Linked DNA regions of Lytechinus pictus. Each later gene encodes a partner of the first gene's protein in a complex. Links are inferred from orthologs where the notes say so. Each region holds a gene or a part of one and is shown on either strand. Other genes may lie near its edges.

What was found. Proteins that work in one complex are often made in the same cells at the same time.
Region 2: the proteins of translation initiation factor eIF2B subunit epsilon-like (region 1) and translation initiation factor eIF2B subunit gamma-like are in contact, whole or in part, in a cryo-EM structure (PDB 7VLK), measured with the Homo sapiens proteins. The link is inferred for Lytechinus pictus from reciprocal best matches to the Homo sapiens genes EIF2B5 and EIF2B3. Residues at the interface, in NP_003898.2 of Homo sapiens: Pro190, Val202, Arg222, Arg223, Phe224, Ala225, Phe226, Pro227, Leu228, Phe231, Gln232, Ser234, Ser235, Asp236, Gly237, Val238, Glu239, Val240, Arg241, Tyr242, Asp243; in NP_065098.1 of Homo sapiens: Arg155, Phe157, Glu178, Glu179, Leu180, Val181, Ile182, Lys183, Gly184, Leu187, Gln188, Pro191, Arg192, Ile193, Arg194, Phe195, His196, Thr197, Gly198.

What each region holds. Positions count from the first base shown.
Region 1 is NC_087249.1:3,461,804-3,469,702, reverse strand, and holds the start of translation initiation factor eIF2B subunit epsilon-like, read right to left. Parts: upstream 3,013-7,899; 5' UTR 2,923-3,012; coding exon 2,797-2,922; intron 404-2,796; coding exon 279-403; intron 1-278. UniProt on the Homo sapiens protein: Acts as a component of the translation initiation factor 2B (eIF2B) complex, which catalyzes the exchange of GDP for GTP on eukaryotic initiation factor 2 (eIF2) gamma subunit.
Region 2 is NC_087255.1:19,408,458-19,415,421, forward strand, and holds the start of translation initiation factor eIF2B subunit gamma-like, read right to left. Parts: upstream 3,009-6,964; 5' UTR 2,925-3,008; intron 1,649-2,924; 5' UTR 1,630-1,648; coding exon 1,482-1,629; intron 779-1,481; coding exon 621-778; intron 1-620. UniProt on the Homo sapiens protein: Acts as a component of the translation initiation factor 2B (eIF2B) complex, which catalyzes the exchange of GDP for GTP on the eukaryotic initiation factor 2 (eIF2) complex gamma subunit.

The DNA.
Region 1 (7,899 bases):
GACAAAATTCGTTCAAATTTAAGAAAAACTTCAGAACAAAATTTTAGCATTTCACATAAATTCTTATCATTTGTTAAGTCATATGTAACTTTACAGTTTTATGAAACAGCCCCTTGTGGAATTATATCAACTTTGTTCCTACTTTATGACAACATGAGAATGAGATTGTGTTTAATTACAAATTATATTGAATGTGACTTGATTATCAAACTGCTCTTAAGATATTTTTTTTTAAATATTAAATTAACCTGCAAAAATTGATCAGAAAATAAACTTACTCAACATGATGTTTGATTTGGTTGGAATGTGAACTGCAGAAGACAAATATTTCCTGAACACCGTTGGTTGCAAGAAACTCCAGCGTGTAGTCAATGATTGGACAGTTCACCAGAGGAAGCAATGCCTTCAAACATAAACAAAATGAAAAGATGTGGTTAGAAACTGAGTTCCTACATGGATGGCAGGTAACTAGAGTTGTTATTTAATAGAATATGAATGTCAAGGTGTAATGATATCAAAGTCAACCATTCCCCATAGATACTGCCCTAAGTTTTCCGCTTTGCGGATTTTCCGCGGAAATCGCGGAAACCGGGGTAGAAAGCGGAAAACACAGTTTTGAAAAAAACAGTGAATTCGGTGAGAAATCTTAGTTTTAAAGTATAAAAAAATTGGTTCCAAAAGCATCCTAATTGATAATACAATCTATAAAATCCAGTCTAGGAATTGCACAAATTAAGCTCTGTGAAACCAGCCTACCGATCGCGATCGCACACCTTACCAGATTGGACCCACAATAAATTTATAAGTACAACACTACATACTACTTACGCAATGCAGCTCTCCCAGCAGCGTTTGTGCGCAATTCGTTCTGGAAATTTCCATGCATAGCGAAAGCAATATTCACGTGCACATCACGTTACTACGGTGATGGAACGCTTGGTCGCCCGTACTAGTAGCATGTATGCATCAACGAACGTAGAGGACAGCAGCAACACTGAAGTGTGTTGCTGCCCTCTACGTTCGTTGGTATGCATGTTCATTAATGCAATATGCACGGGGAGTAAGCCTACGTATAGTAGAAATAATTTTACTCCCCAGACGCCTCCAGGGGCCCGTCTCTCAACACCGTCATAAGTCTAACTTCTTGACTAAATCGGAGATAGTGAGCTACTTGTCTGCTAACCGTTTCACGAAGCCCTCTTTACCAAGATCGGGTACAACCTCACTAAATATTTATGACACCTCCGAACCTGTCATAACTTCTTTCTTAATGACGTATGGCATCACGTGGGTAGACTGACATGCAAAAGTGCCTAGAAATTTTCAAATTATAATCTTACGTAATCAATCATAGAGGTTGAAATTACATCACAAAACAAGTGGGATAATGCATTCAATGATAATTGTAATACAAAGAAACTATAAAAACTGTTGGTAATAACAAAACGCCACAGAACCATTCATTTTGAAATAGTAAAATGATTTAATCGATAAAGATTCTACCACGTCAGGCCATCCATAACTGAACTCGTATTAGTTGTTTTCAGACCCCTATTAACAGTTGGATAATTCTATCTCTAATTTATGCATATAATTTGTCAAATTTCGTATGTTTCGGTATCAATTATTAAAAAATGTTTCGTTAAACTATAATTTTGATGACTTTCGGAGTCATAAAAGACCGTATAATTATCATCATTTTACATAGAAAATCGTTATGGTTTACTTTCGTAAACTATTAAAATTTGATATCCCGGGGGTACCCATCTCAACATCCACAACAAGTGATTTTTTAGTCATGAAATGAATTATTCATAAATCAATTTTCACTGCTATTGAACATGTTGAATGGTCCAGTCTTCATGGCCTAAGTATGTATGATGCATAATTCACCTGTGCTATTATTTTGAAAAGATTTATTTCCCAATTCATCACAATATTTGCAATTTTGTCATAATTTTTCTTTTTGAAAATGATGCTATTTTGTGACTAAAAGTCTAAGGCTACGTCTCGTCTGCTCTTTTTACCGAGTATCGATATCAAGGTATTCTATAAGTTAGGAAGCCTTTCGAGAAACAGGTTTAGTAAGATTGGAACTAACTCCGTGGTTGGTGGATATAGATATGACTAAGTAACTTGTCCATGTGTTGAGAAACGGGCCCCAGGCTACCCACGGCCTAGACCAAAAGCTTCAGTCTGTCTCTGTTATGTTGGTTGTTCAGCTGAACTCCGTTGGCTTCACTCACCAAATACAGAGACCGAAGTTCTAGCGCGATCTGTACAGGGGACTCAATGGCCATATGTTTATGTGTATTAAGTTTGGATAAAACAGGGCAGTGAAGTTGTGCGACAGCCGAGGTAAGTCACTGTTTTTGTTCCTTTTAACTTGATTTTCCCCGTTTTTTGGCAATTAATGCCAAGAGGGAATATTAATTTGCATTTCGGTCGCGTTAATTTTCAAAAGTTTGATTCATTAAAGACAAAAATTGAAGAGCCCCGACGGGGGGATTTTGCATTGTAAGTCCCCTAATGGTGGCTGCACGATAGCGAGCCGTCTGTGTATGAGGAGAAATTAAAAAAATTAAAAAATGTTAAAAAACTCCTCGAAACAGACGGCTGCCAGCTGTCTACCCACGGCCCACCTGGGACGGGACGGCCCGAGCCCGGGGGACTGAAGCCGGCTACTACGTACGGGTACCGTACCGTATACGGTACCGCATCCGCACGCATCACACACCAGCTGCTTACAAATTCTACCAAAAATTATTGTATCTGTAGGCATAAGCAGATACTCACTCGCGGTTTTTCCAGGCTTACAGGAGAAAACCTAGTATTGAAGCTATCTGCAATAACAACTGCTTGGAGAACGTCCTCCTTTTCCAACGAATTGTCGGATTTCCCCTTTGCTTTTTTGCCAGACATGGTGATGAAGTCGCGTATGGACAGCTACACTACAGATTCGTGTAAGGACCAAGATTGTTGGCTATGTTCAGCTTAGATTTACGCGTACCGTATACCGTACACTGAACTAGAAATACATGTACGTATATACGTAAATACGTATCTCTAGTTCAGTGATACCGTATATTTCATGCAATATTTGATTGAATTTAGCAATTGTAATGTAGTCGACTTACTTAGTATGTAACCATACATAAGACAAATAATTCAGCTATTTTTTATATATATATATTTTTTGTAATAAGGACCATTAGATTAGAGCCGCATATACTAGTAGTCGATAGACTAAATGCCTAAAAAGTGCCAGTTGAGTTCAAAGAATCATATTTGTGACAAGTTTGTTTGAATCATTGAAGAAGCTAAATATATTTCACTAATCAATTTTTTTATATCGATCCAGCACCGCTCAATCATGAACAGGAATCATATAATTGTAACACTCTTTAAATGTAGCGTGGTAGGTATGGATGAGTGTTAGCTAGTGGTAAGACTTCAATAAGGGAATCCAACTCAAAGTATATAAAGTTCAGATGATATTTAATCACGCAGACATATATATATATAAATGAACAGTCGCTTGTTGAGAACTCGGGCACTCCCCTATCAAGGCCTCAAAGGGCAGGAGCGCAAGCTTATGGAGTAGTAGTCCGAAGACTAAGGAAAGAACCTAGAGAATATCAAGCACCTCTAATTTATACTCTGAGGGGAGGTGTTTACCCCTTTGGACTTATCTATTGTGACTGTACATGAGTAGACAACTAAATGAAATAGAACAAAGGACAGGTCTGGAAGATGTAGGGAACAAAGAGTAATGAATAAGGATTGAGACGAACTAATGAAGGGAGGAAGATTAATCTGAGGGAATCTATTGTTTGCCACTGATGGTGGTGTTTTCATTTGGTTAAAGTATTGTTATTATATGGTCATGTGGTCATGGTGGTTGTATCACTGCCTGAATATACCCAAGGTCTAGTGATATATAATTTAGACAACTATATAAGCTGCTACATTGGAATGAATATTTTACTCTTACATAATTATAGGCCTACCTTTATCCTCTTGAGCAGATTTTAAAAATCTATTTTAGGCTATGCGAGCACAAAGGGCGAGATAAATGCTCAATTTGATTCGATGGCCTAATCCCCCCCCCCCCCCCTTCCCTGTAGTTTGCCCCGCCAATATAGGGGGAAGTGCGACTGCTTTGGCCCCCTGGATCCACCTATATAACAATAATTAAAAAAAATTAATGATAATACTAACAATAATCTCTCCCTTTTTAACTCTACCATTTTACTTTATTAAAGGTCAAGTCCACCCCAGGAAAATGCTGACTTTAATAAGTAAAAAAAATCAAACTGGCATGCCGGATGTAAAATAAGAAAGTTTTGATATTTTAAAATTTCGCTTATTTTTCACAAAACACGGTGATATACATGCACAACTAGGTCAGTCAGTCGATGATGTCCATCACTCACTATTTCTTTTGTTTTTTATTGTTTGAATTATATAATATTTCATTTTTCATAGATTTGACAATAAGGACCAACTTAACTGAGGGAACCATATAGTATTAAACAATGCTAATTCCGCATTTTCAGGGAGGAATTAATCGTTTATTTTACATCCGATTTTGATAAAATTTTCAGTGTCATCAGTGGCGTACCGTGGGTCACAGCATTGGGGGGGGCACCAGCAAAAATTTTGAGTCACTCAGTGTGAGTATACTAACCTAATACATTTTAAGGACGGCGCAATGCCATTAAACGAATGTGTATCTCACTGATCAAATAATGCGAGCACAAGCTTAAAATTTTTGATATTCAGACCTAAAAATAGACATTAAAGGAGAATGAAACTCTTGGAGCAAGTTAGCTTTTGTGAAAGCAGAAAAATCAAAGAATAAGATCAACAAAAGTTTGAGTAAAATAGGACTAGCAATAGAAGAGTTATGAGCATTTAAATGTCGAGATCACTAATGCTATGGAGATCCTCCCATTGGCAATGCGAGCAATATCTATGATGTCACAGATGAACAACTCTCCCCTTTTGGACGCTGAAAATATACCCCAAAACATCTCCTTTTGCTTATTCTAATCATATGACAAACGATTCATCAATGATATAATGTTGTGAAACCTCTGTACTTGTCCTCTCATAAAGAGAACACCTCACCTTGTGATAGACTCTATAAAAGTGAGAATATAAGGGAAATAAGTACTAAAGTAATGAGGGAGTTGTACGTGTGTGACATCACAGATCTTATGGTTGCATTGCCAACAGGAAGGATCTACATGGCATTAGTGATCTCAATATTCAAATGCTCATAACTTTCTTATTATTCATTCAATCTTCCTCAAACTTTCAACAATATGTTTCTTTGATTTTTCTCTTTGATATGGATTCAGCTGGTTTCAAGGGTTTCATTCTCCTTTAAAGCTAATTTTTGTTATGATACGTACCTGTCTCGCTAAACAACAACGCGAGCGCAAAGCGCAAGCTGAACTTGTATACATTTACCCCATACAGGCATATTTTAAGGGCTATTTTTTAAGGAATCCATTAAGAGTATACATATCTCACCATAGTCATCTAATCGAGTGCCAAGCGCTTGCTGATTTTGCTAGAACTACATCTAAACACATGAATTACTTTTTATAGTCATTGTAATCATGATTCTCATACGCATCTCGCAAATCAAATATTGCGAATGCGAAGCGCGAGCTGAAAATTCAGGAAGTTCAGACCTGAAGAGGGACATTCTAATTAAGGCTCGTTTGTAGGAATTCACTAAGACCATACGCATTTCACTAACCAAATTATGCGAGCGCGAAGCGCGAGCTGAAATTTTTTTAATTGATATTCAGATCAGAAAAAGGGACATTAATTAAGGACTGATTTTAGGAATTCATGAAGATCAGACATACCTCACCAATCCACTATTGCAAACGTGAGCACGGAAGGAAATGTTTTATTTGAAGACCTTAGAGTGGGGCAATCGCTTTAGTTGTCATGAAAAAGAAGCATATGTCACTACATAAAACAATAATAACTCGAAGTGCGAGGAAATATGTTTGGAGTATATTGATTTGAAAACGGAAGGTTTTAGCACAACAGGATTATATATCTCGTTAAACAGACAATACGAGCACCAGGAACAATGAAGACATAGGCCCTGAGCAAATTGTGTTTACATAATAGTAATGATAAAATCATAAAGAACAATAATTTCTTCTTTCCCACTACGTTTCTCTTTCTTTTCTCCTTTTTTTTTTGGCCAGCCGATCGACCCCCCCCCCCCCCACCCCCATGCCCCCCGCCCGTAGTTACGCCACTGAGTGTTATGCTTGTTGGATTTTTCTCTTTTTATTCAAATCAACTTTTTGTTGGGGTGGACTTGTCCTTTAAAAACATAAAAATCAGCATTGCGTAATTTGACGGACAGAATAATGGCGTACTGGGTGGGGGTCTAAAAAGTCCCAAGCTAGGGAAGCGAGCTAGCAACAATATCAATCTAAAATGGAAATCTTATATTGTGACAAAGTTTGACATATTTTATATCGAGAAAATAATTTCATTTTTACCATTTTCTTCTTCAATTGCTTACTTGTCTCCTCATTTTAAGTCTTTGAAACCTTTTTTGGGGGCAACCATCCAAAAAATCGCCCCATTTTTATGCCAGTGCAAGTCCCGTTAGAGTCATATGGGGAAAATTTCTCCGATTGCCACTTTTATATAGCAAAGTTTTAGATATCTCCCAATCTGGATTTTTCATTATTATCATTAAGTTTATCTTCATAAATTCGGTGCATATGTGCCCACGGGGGGGGGGAGGGGGCTTCCTTATAAAATGGCCCACACATTTAATTTAAGTTTGCCCAGTCAAAAGGCTATATATACGCCTCTATCTCCCCCTGTCTCTCCCCCCCCCTCTCTCTCTCTCTCTCCCTCTCTCCTTCCATCTTTCCCTTTCTTCCAGGGTGTGCTTATGTACTATATCTTCCATATTCATTGGTCTCGATCCCTTCAAAATATGAAGACCACATACCATATCCATCATTCCGAATTCCATTACTCGATCTTGCATTGACGCTTTGCATACCTTCTAAGGGCTAAGACCTCGCCTGAATTTTATGATATTGAAAACACAAAAAGGATCGATTTGGCTTCAAGGTTGCATTTTTAATATAATACTTTCTGTCTACGCAAATAATTTTTACTCAGGCTATATATTTACCTCATAAGTCTCTCTTTTTGTCATGTTACTTAGAAAAGAACTGTGTTCAAAACAAATTTTCAATATGGATATATATAAAGACGAACTTGAATTTTAACTTGACACTCCATCTGAAGTCGATCACGATCACAACCTATCACTAAATAATCACTACCGTGTTATAGACAATGCAATCAGCATTCAGCTATCAATTGCTTGATCAAAAATCAATCAATTAATTATAAATCGATAAATTAATCAATAAACCAATAAATCAGTCTCAATCAAGTATTCAATCACCATTCAGCTATCAATCACTTAATCAACAATCTATCAGTCAATCAAACAACCAGTCACTTTTCAGCTAGTTGAACTCCAGTTTCAAATTGTAATGAATCATTAGAAAACTCGGTGGTACTGAAGATGATTTCTTTTACATTATATCTATATCTATTTTGACACACAATAATAAGCAATTCATATTTTAAACTATTTTAGATTTGTAATATCGTAAAATTCGCTTAACTGCTCACGGAATACATAGATCAACAATTTCATGAAAATATTATATACACACACACAAACACACAAGCAAGTAAGAATATACATAAGAAGCGAATATGAGAGAGACGTCATTCCGATTGATGTGATAAGCACTATAAGAAAAACGGATTATTTTCATAAACTGAAAAGGCTCCGCATTTAAAATCGTCCAGCTTCTGCAA
Region 2 (6,964 bases), on another chromosome or scaffold:
TGGTCAATTAACCTTAGTTTTACAGACTTTCTCATTAAATAATAAGTGTTTACTGCAACTACTTCATTAATCTTTAATAATAATTATGGATATTTCAGAAGTGCTAAAAATTGTTGACATGGTGCGTAAAACTACAATTTAACAATAAACAATAAACAATCACAATCATTCATTCAAAAAAAATAGAGAAAAGGCAGATTTGAAGAGGGATGGTCTTGGCAGCTACTGCAGCAAAACTTTTTTTCAATAAATAAGAATTTCAACTTACAAGGGAATGAAAAATTTATGTGTCGATGGTTGAATGGATATTACAAGACAGTGTGTCTATTTTAAGTCATCCTTGCTAAGCTGATAACAACAAAATGGAAACATCTCATATTTCATATAATTATTTACAAAGGAAATAGTGAGTACATCAGTCACAATGCCATTTCCATGCCAGCAAGTCATGAGAACATGTATATTTGTGAAGTTTAACAAAACTTTGAAATGATATAACTTTCATATTTTAAACTCATAACGATGAAATATTCAGTTTTGGACTTGTTTGACTCTTTTCTATCTCTTCGAGTCAACTTTTTATCGGTGTGGGCTTGACTCTTAAATTCATGCTGGTTTACCTTGATTTTATCTCTAATGTGCCTCAGAGATTCAGCCGTGCCCCAATCTTCATCATTGGGGATGGTTACAATGTCCAGCTCCAGCTTGGTCTCACCACATGATTTCAACTTCTGTCGTAAATCCTTCCCAAAAGATTCAAGTGTGATGATGATCACCCCTGTCAGAATGGGTGCAAAAGAGATTCAAATGATCATTATTCTAAATAATAATAAAACATTATGCTCTGCATTTTATAGGTTATCTACATCTCTTAGGAGCAGTTTACTTCTCCCAAGTCATACCTATACAATGTTTTCAGATACATATATTTCCTTTATTTTTTACTAAACACATATTCATGAAATGGATGCATCATTTATATCATAAGATTAGTGTGGTTGTGTGGTTAGAGCATTGGACTCATGTTTGTAAGGTTGTGAGTTCAAATCCCAGCTAGACCAATATCTGTCATCTTTAAAATCAGCCCCTATGACTGATAACCTTTGACATAAATGTTTTCATATGTACTTGTTTATATACCAGCTTGGTGTGATGCGGAGGAGAGCTGCTTTGCCGATTTCCTACGGATGTTACTTCTACAGAAATAAGTCTTGCTTTCATGAATACAAAGAGCCATTTTATACCATTAGTAATTTTTATAATACCTACAGTACCAGTCACAATTCGTTGACTATCAGTTTACCTGTTTCAACCAGAGAACAATAGATTCAGTGGACCGAATCTATTGTTCTCTGGTTGAAACAGGTAAACAGGTAGTCAAAGAATTGTGACTGATAGATTGTGACCGGTAGTGTATTGTATCACTGTTATTGCAATGGTGGGATTTCAAAATGATCACTTCATGAAGTCCATGTACTTACTTTCAAAGCCAGCCTTCTCCAGCATATTTATCGGATACCAAATCATAGGGTGGTTGCCAATTGGAAGAAGTGCTTTGGGGATGTTGTTCGATAGGTCTGTCATCCTGGACCCTCGGCCAGCGGCCATGATCACCGCCTGGAACTCCATGTTGAATCTTCTCACGCAACTGCTCAGCCAGAGAATGACATGAATGGTGGGAAGGAAGGAGTTGATTACAGAAAAAATAAAAATGCTGCGAGGATATGGATGTTAATAAAGCAATTATGAATAAAATGTAGATCTAATATTCAGTGCATGATTGTGAGGTGATGCATTGCCTTTTTAAAAAGGTATTCCATTATCTATGCTAGCTCCCTGACATGGATGGTCTTCACACATTACAAAGCCAGAAGTCAAAATCAATGAACCTGAAATTTAATTAACCAAACACAAGAACCAAGTATTTTGGCTCGGTTCGGCAAAATATTATTCAGTTTAGAGTCCTGAGTAACCTGCCCATGATTCAACATGTTCAGCTTTTCTGCAATATATTTGTTTTATTTAAACTTTCTTTTCACAGAAATAAATTTACATCGAATGTTTTTTTTTAAATCCGAGTTAAACTGCCGCATGCTCTGGAAATATGGCAGAAATTTCACACTGTTAAAGGCTAAATTTGACTTTTCATTTTTTCAAAGGGATTTTGGAGTTACTTAAAACATGGCTTTTCCGGTGATAGGTGAGTTATTATAATAATTATTTTTAATCACATGTTGACTTTTAGTATTTGTTAAATAATAATTTTTATCACTAAATTGTTCAATTCAATTTCAAAACGGCATTTTACATTGCTAATCGAAGGTACATCATAACGAAGCGGTTAAAGGATCACACCTATTGTAATTGCTTTGTTGAAAAACGGATCGAGGGATCTACATGAGATCGGTCTGGCAAGACACCTTCAATTTTTCACCTTTTTGTTATGCATTAGGCGCGGCGTATGAAGTAAAAATAAATAAAATCACAAACATTTATGTGATTTCTATCTATTAGTAGAAAGCTGGATTTCCTAGGGAAATCCATCTTTGTTTTGATGTGTCTCTTATACATATATGGGATGCGGTTCAATGCTCCACGATGAAGCAGTATATGTCAAAATATTAAAAAATATCGGAGTCCTCACTCCTCACGGCTAGGTAATCGGCCGGTGCGAAACTGCATTAGCGCCCAAATATCCAACTACTTAACGGTACATAAAAGTCAATAGATGGGACACATGCCAAGACCAGGACTTTGTTTCCCACTCCACCATATTTTCGACCACATCGTTTGTTTTGAATATTGAAACAGCAAAAAAGCTTTTAAAAAATGCGAAAATTGATCTAAATACACATTCCTGAGCTAAAAATTTCCCAAAAGTATTCCCATATTATCAAAAGCAAGAAAATATACCACTGTCTTACCTCAGACTCCGTCGGAAATCTCGCTAAATTATTCGACCATTAATGATAAATTAGGGTGTTCTTGACGCGGCGCAGCAAATGGGAAAAAATCGATCAGGCAACTCAAGAGCTGCATACAGAATAATTTGTCGACACTCATGAATAAAAACAAAACACAAAACAAAACAGTATATTCAGCGATAAAGCGGAGAGCATGCCAAGCGGAGTTAACGGGGGGGGGGGGGGAGACTAGGAGAGATTCCGGATAGTCCTACCTGGCAGGATGGCTTGCTCCTCTCAAAGCTAGAGACATAATTACAAATTTTGAAATAGATCTACATACTCTCAATAGAAATATCACAAGGAGGCGTACAAGTATAAGATATTAACCGATCTTTACCATACACGATGAAAAGCAAAATAGATGTTAATTGTTGAAACATATTTCTTTTGTAAATCATGCCAATTTTCCTCCAATATGATTGTGCAACATAGTTTGACTCCTCATTGGACGTGTAAAATATCCCAATTATTGTCTTACTCAGTCAAAGGTGTCTCAATTTGTTATATACTTTCGTCCTTATTTGCATATTACCGTGTGTCTTTTTACCATAAGGAAATTGTCAATGTTGGGCTAATTTCGGTTGTATTAGACTTTTAAAGATAAAGTCTAAAGTTTCAGAAATTAGAAGTGATGGGTTTAGACTCTGCATGTGTGACATGGTTTAGATCATATTTATCTAACCGTCATCAGGTAGTTACCATGCAGACGGTTCTTTCTGATTCACTGCCTATTAAATGCGGAGTCCCTCAAGGAAGCATTTTAGGCCCCATTCTTTTTATGTCTTACATCAATGATATGTGTACTTGTATTAACGAATCTAAATTCATTTTATATGCTGATGATAGTGTCTTGCTATATTCGGATACAAATCCCAAGATAATTGATAAAAAACTTAGTGCTGATTTGGCTAATTGCATCGAATGGATGACTGACAACAAGCTTAGTTTACACGTTGGGAAAACGGAAAGCATTTTATTTTGTTCTAAACGAAAGTTAAGATATACACACGATTTCAAGGTTTCATATAATAATCAGGTAATTGAAAGAAAAGATTCAGTAAGATATTTGGGAATTAATTTAACAAGTAACCTATCATGGACGGGTCTGGTAGACTCAATCGCCAAAAAGGCTAATTCACGCTTGAAATTTTTGTATAGATATCAAACCTGTTTGAATATGAAGTCTAGACGTATTTTATGCTTTGCGTTAATACAATGTTTATTCGACTATGCTAATGCGGCTTGGTACGGTAGTCTGGGTGTTACGGATAAGAAAAAGCTAAGAATAATTCAAAATAAAATTGTGAGATATATAAATGTTTTAGGACCAAGAGCACATGTCGGATATAATGAACTTGAAAAGGCAGGATTGCTTCATGTAGATCACAGGTCACAACAATTAGTATTACACCACGTGCATAAAATATTCTATTCGGATAAATTAGATCATTATATAGCAAATAATTTCACCCGGGTATCAAATATCCATAGGTACGATACTCGAAATAGTAATTTTAATTTCGTATTACCAAAACGTGAAGGACATATTGGAAACACTTTTTATTTTAATGGCATCCAATCTTGGAATGCTCTTCCTGATAAAATAAAAGCCGTTAAATTCTTTTGTCAATTTAAGAGTGCATTAAAAAATCACCTAAAACTGGAAACTGCCCGAGAACAGCATTACCAGTAAAATAACACATTTTGTACAGTTGGTTTCTAGTATTGTAGATAATGTATACATTAGGGTATGTTAAAATATAATCTTGTTTCACATATTAGGAAGATTATTGTTTGCTTCAGATGTTTGCAAATTATATGACTGATGGATATGTTTGTATGTATTTTATTTTTTTCCCCCAATATTCCAGTACTTGTCGTAGTTTATATTTTTTGTTACAATATGTTAATGTTTTATACTAACTATAGGACCCCATTGGAAATAAGCCTTTCGGCTTTCATGGGCTATCCTGTCAAGGTATCTCCTCAATTTCATTGTAATCTCCTGTGATATTCTTGACGAATAAAATCAATCAATCAATCAGTCCACCCCAGAAAATTGTTGATTTGAATCAATAGAAAAAATTTCAAACAAGCAGAATGCTGAAAATTTCATTAAAATTGTTGGATTTTTCACTATTTTCATTCAAAGAACTTTTTGTTGGGATGGACTTGTCCTTTGATATGGTAAATTTGAATCAATAAACTTCGCGAATCGTTAATTTTAGTATAATGTTATCACCCTCCGCCCCTCTCCCTCCGTGTGAATCCCCCCTCCCCTTTCTGGGGGGGGGGGGGGGTCACAAAGACTTAAGTGTGACGAAAAACATGCTTTTGTCGTCAGCATGATTTGACAAATAAATGCGTTTTATAATTGCACGCTAAGTCACACTTTACTCTCTGTGAAACGCGCCCCCCCCACTTCCCCCGATTTTGTAAGCTCAGTCATTGTCCTCATGCCCGAGATATTTCATTTGCAGGACATTCACATTTCGACGGGGGTTTTCTGTGACTGTCGACGGCAGGTGCAGTCTCTTGCCAATTATCGACAGTCCAATGGCGGGGCAGTTCCCCGGCAACTCTACACCGGTTCTTGTAGAGTGTCCCGCTGCTTCAGAGCTATTTGCGCTATTTGAGATGGATGGGAATGTAGGTTAGGAAACATGGCAGGCCGGTCGTACGGTCGGTCGCGCCCGTTTAAACTGATGATGTCTGTGAAATTTTCTCTTATTATCTTTGGGCATGCTATGGCCTCTGAAATACAACACCATTGCAGTAGATTGGACAACAAGCAGATAATAGGCCCAAGCTCGTGCCCATGGGGCCCTCAATTCAACGAATCGGGGCCCCAACCAACAAAGAGGGTGACCAAATGGATTCTGAGCGCATGATGTGCGGGGGCAAAGAAACCTGCTCCTAATTTCCAATTAGCCCACTAAATTATAAACTTATCACTATAGATAAGCAACAATTATTATTGTATTTTGTTTTTAAGCGTTTTTAAAGCATAGGCCTAATCGGAGTAAATTGCATAAAAAATGAATTGATCGATGCTTTTAATTCTTGACATTAAAAAATATGTTTTATGTTTCTTCAAAGTGATGCAAGAAGAAAAACGAAGTCACAAGTCAAGTTAAAATATAGATTGACAATTCATGGAAATCATCACTTTAAGCAAAGGAAAAACAAAAACAACTAGAAAACACTTGTTTTCTCCTCTTGTTCAGTTAATGCTCTTAAAGTGATAAAAATCGTTATGTCGTACATGTTAAATTCCTTTTCAAATGAAAGACGATTACTACGACACTGGCTGTAATCGGCGTATAGCATTCAGTTGAGGCTCATTGTATCAATTATCTCAAATTATATCACAGACCACACATTCTTTGACATAATAATAGTTTGCTTTGATATTAAACTATCGGCTTCCATTTTGTGATTGAGAAGGCCCTCACCTAGTTCTACGTAGATGTTATTGACCTATTCAGATTGGCCTATATCCACGCATGGAATAATTTCTCATTTAGTCAAATGATTCGTTTCACGCACTCCCCCCATGAACGTCAAGATTAATGTACAAAGGACGTGAGATGAAAAGATGGGGATGGCCCGTTGAGGTGGGATGCGGATTCCGGGAGTTGGTATTTTTTTTACATGCAATAGGCACAAGCCTCCGTGATGTCATCGTAATGGATATCTAGATGCTTAACTTGTCAAACCAGTCAATGCCAAGAACAGAAATTTGTACATAATAATATTATCGGCATAATCATCATTGATGCCCTCATCGTCAACATCGTTGTCGTCGTCATCATCAGCATCATCATCATAATCATCACCATCGTCGTCATCATCAACATCAGCAGCAGCAGCAGCAGCAGCAGCAGCAGTAAACCCACTTCTACCACCAATATCACCACGATCACCACCGCCACCATCATCATCGTCATCATCGTCATCATCATAGTCGTCAATTCGTCATAAAAAGGACAGTCTTT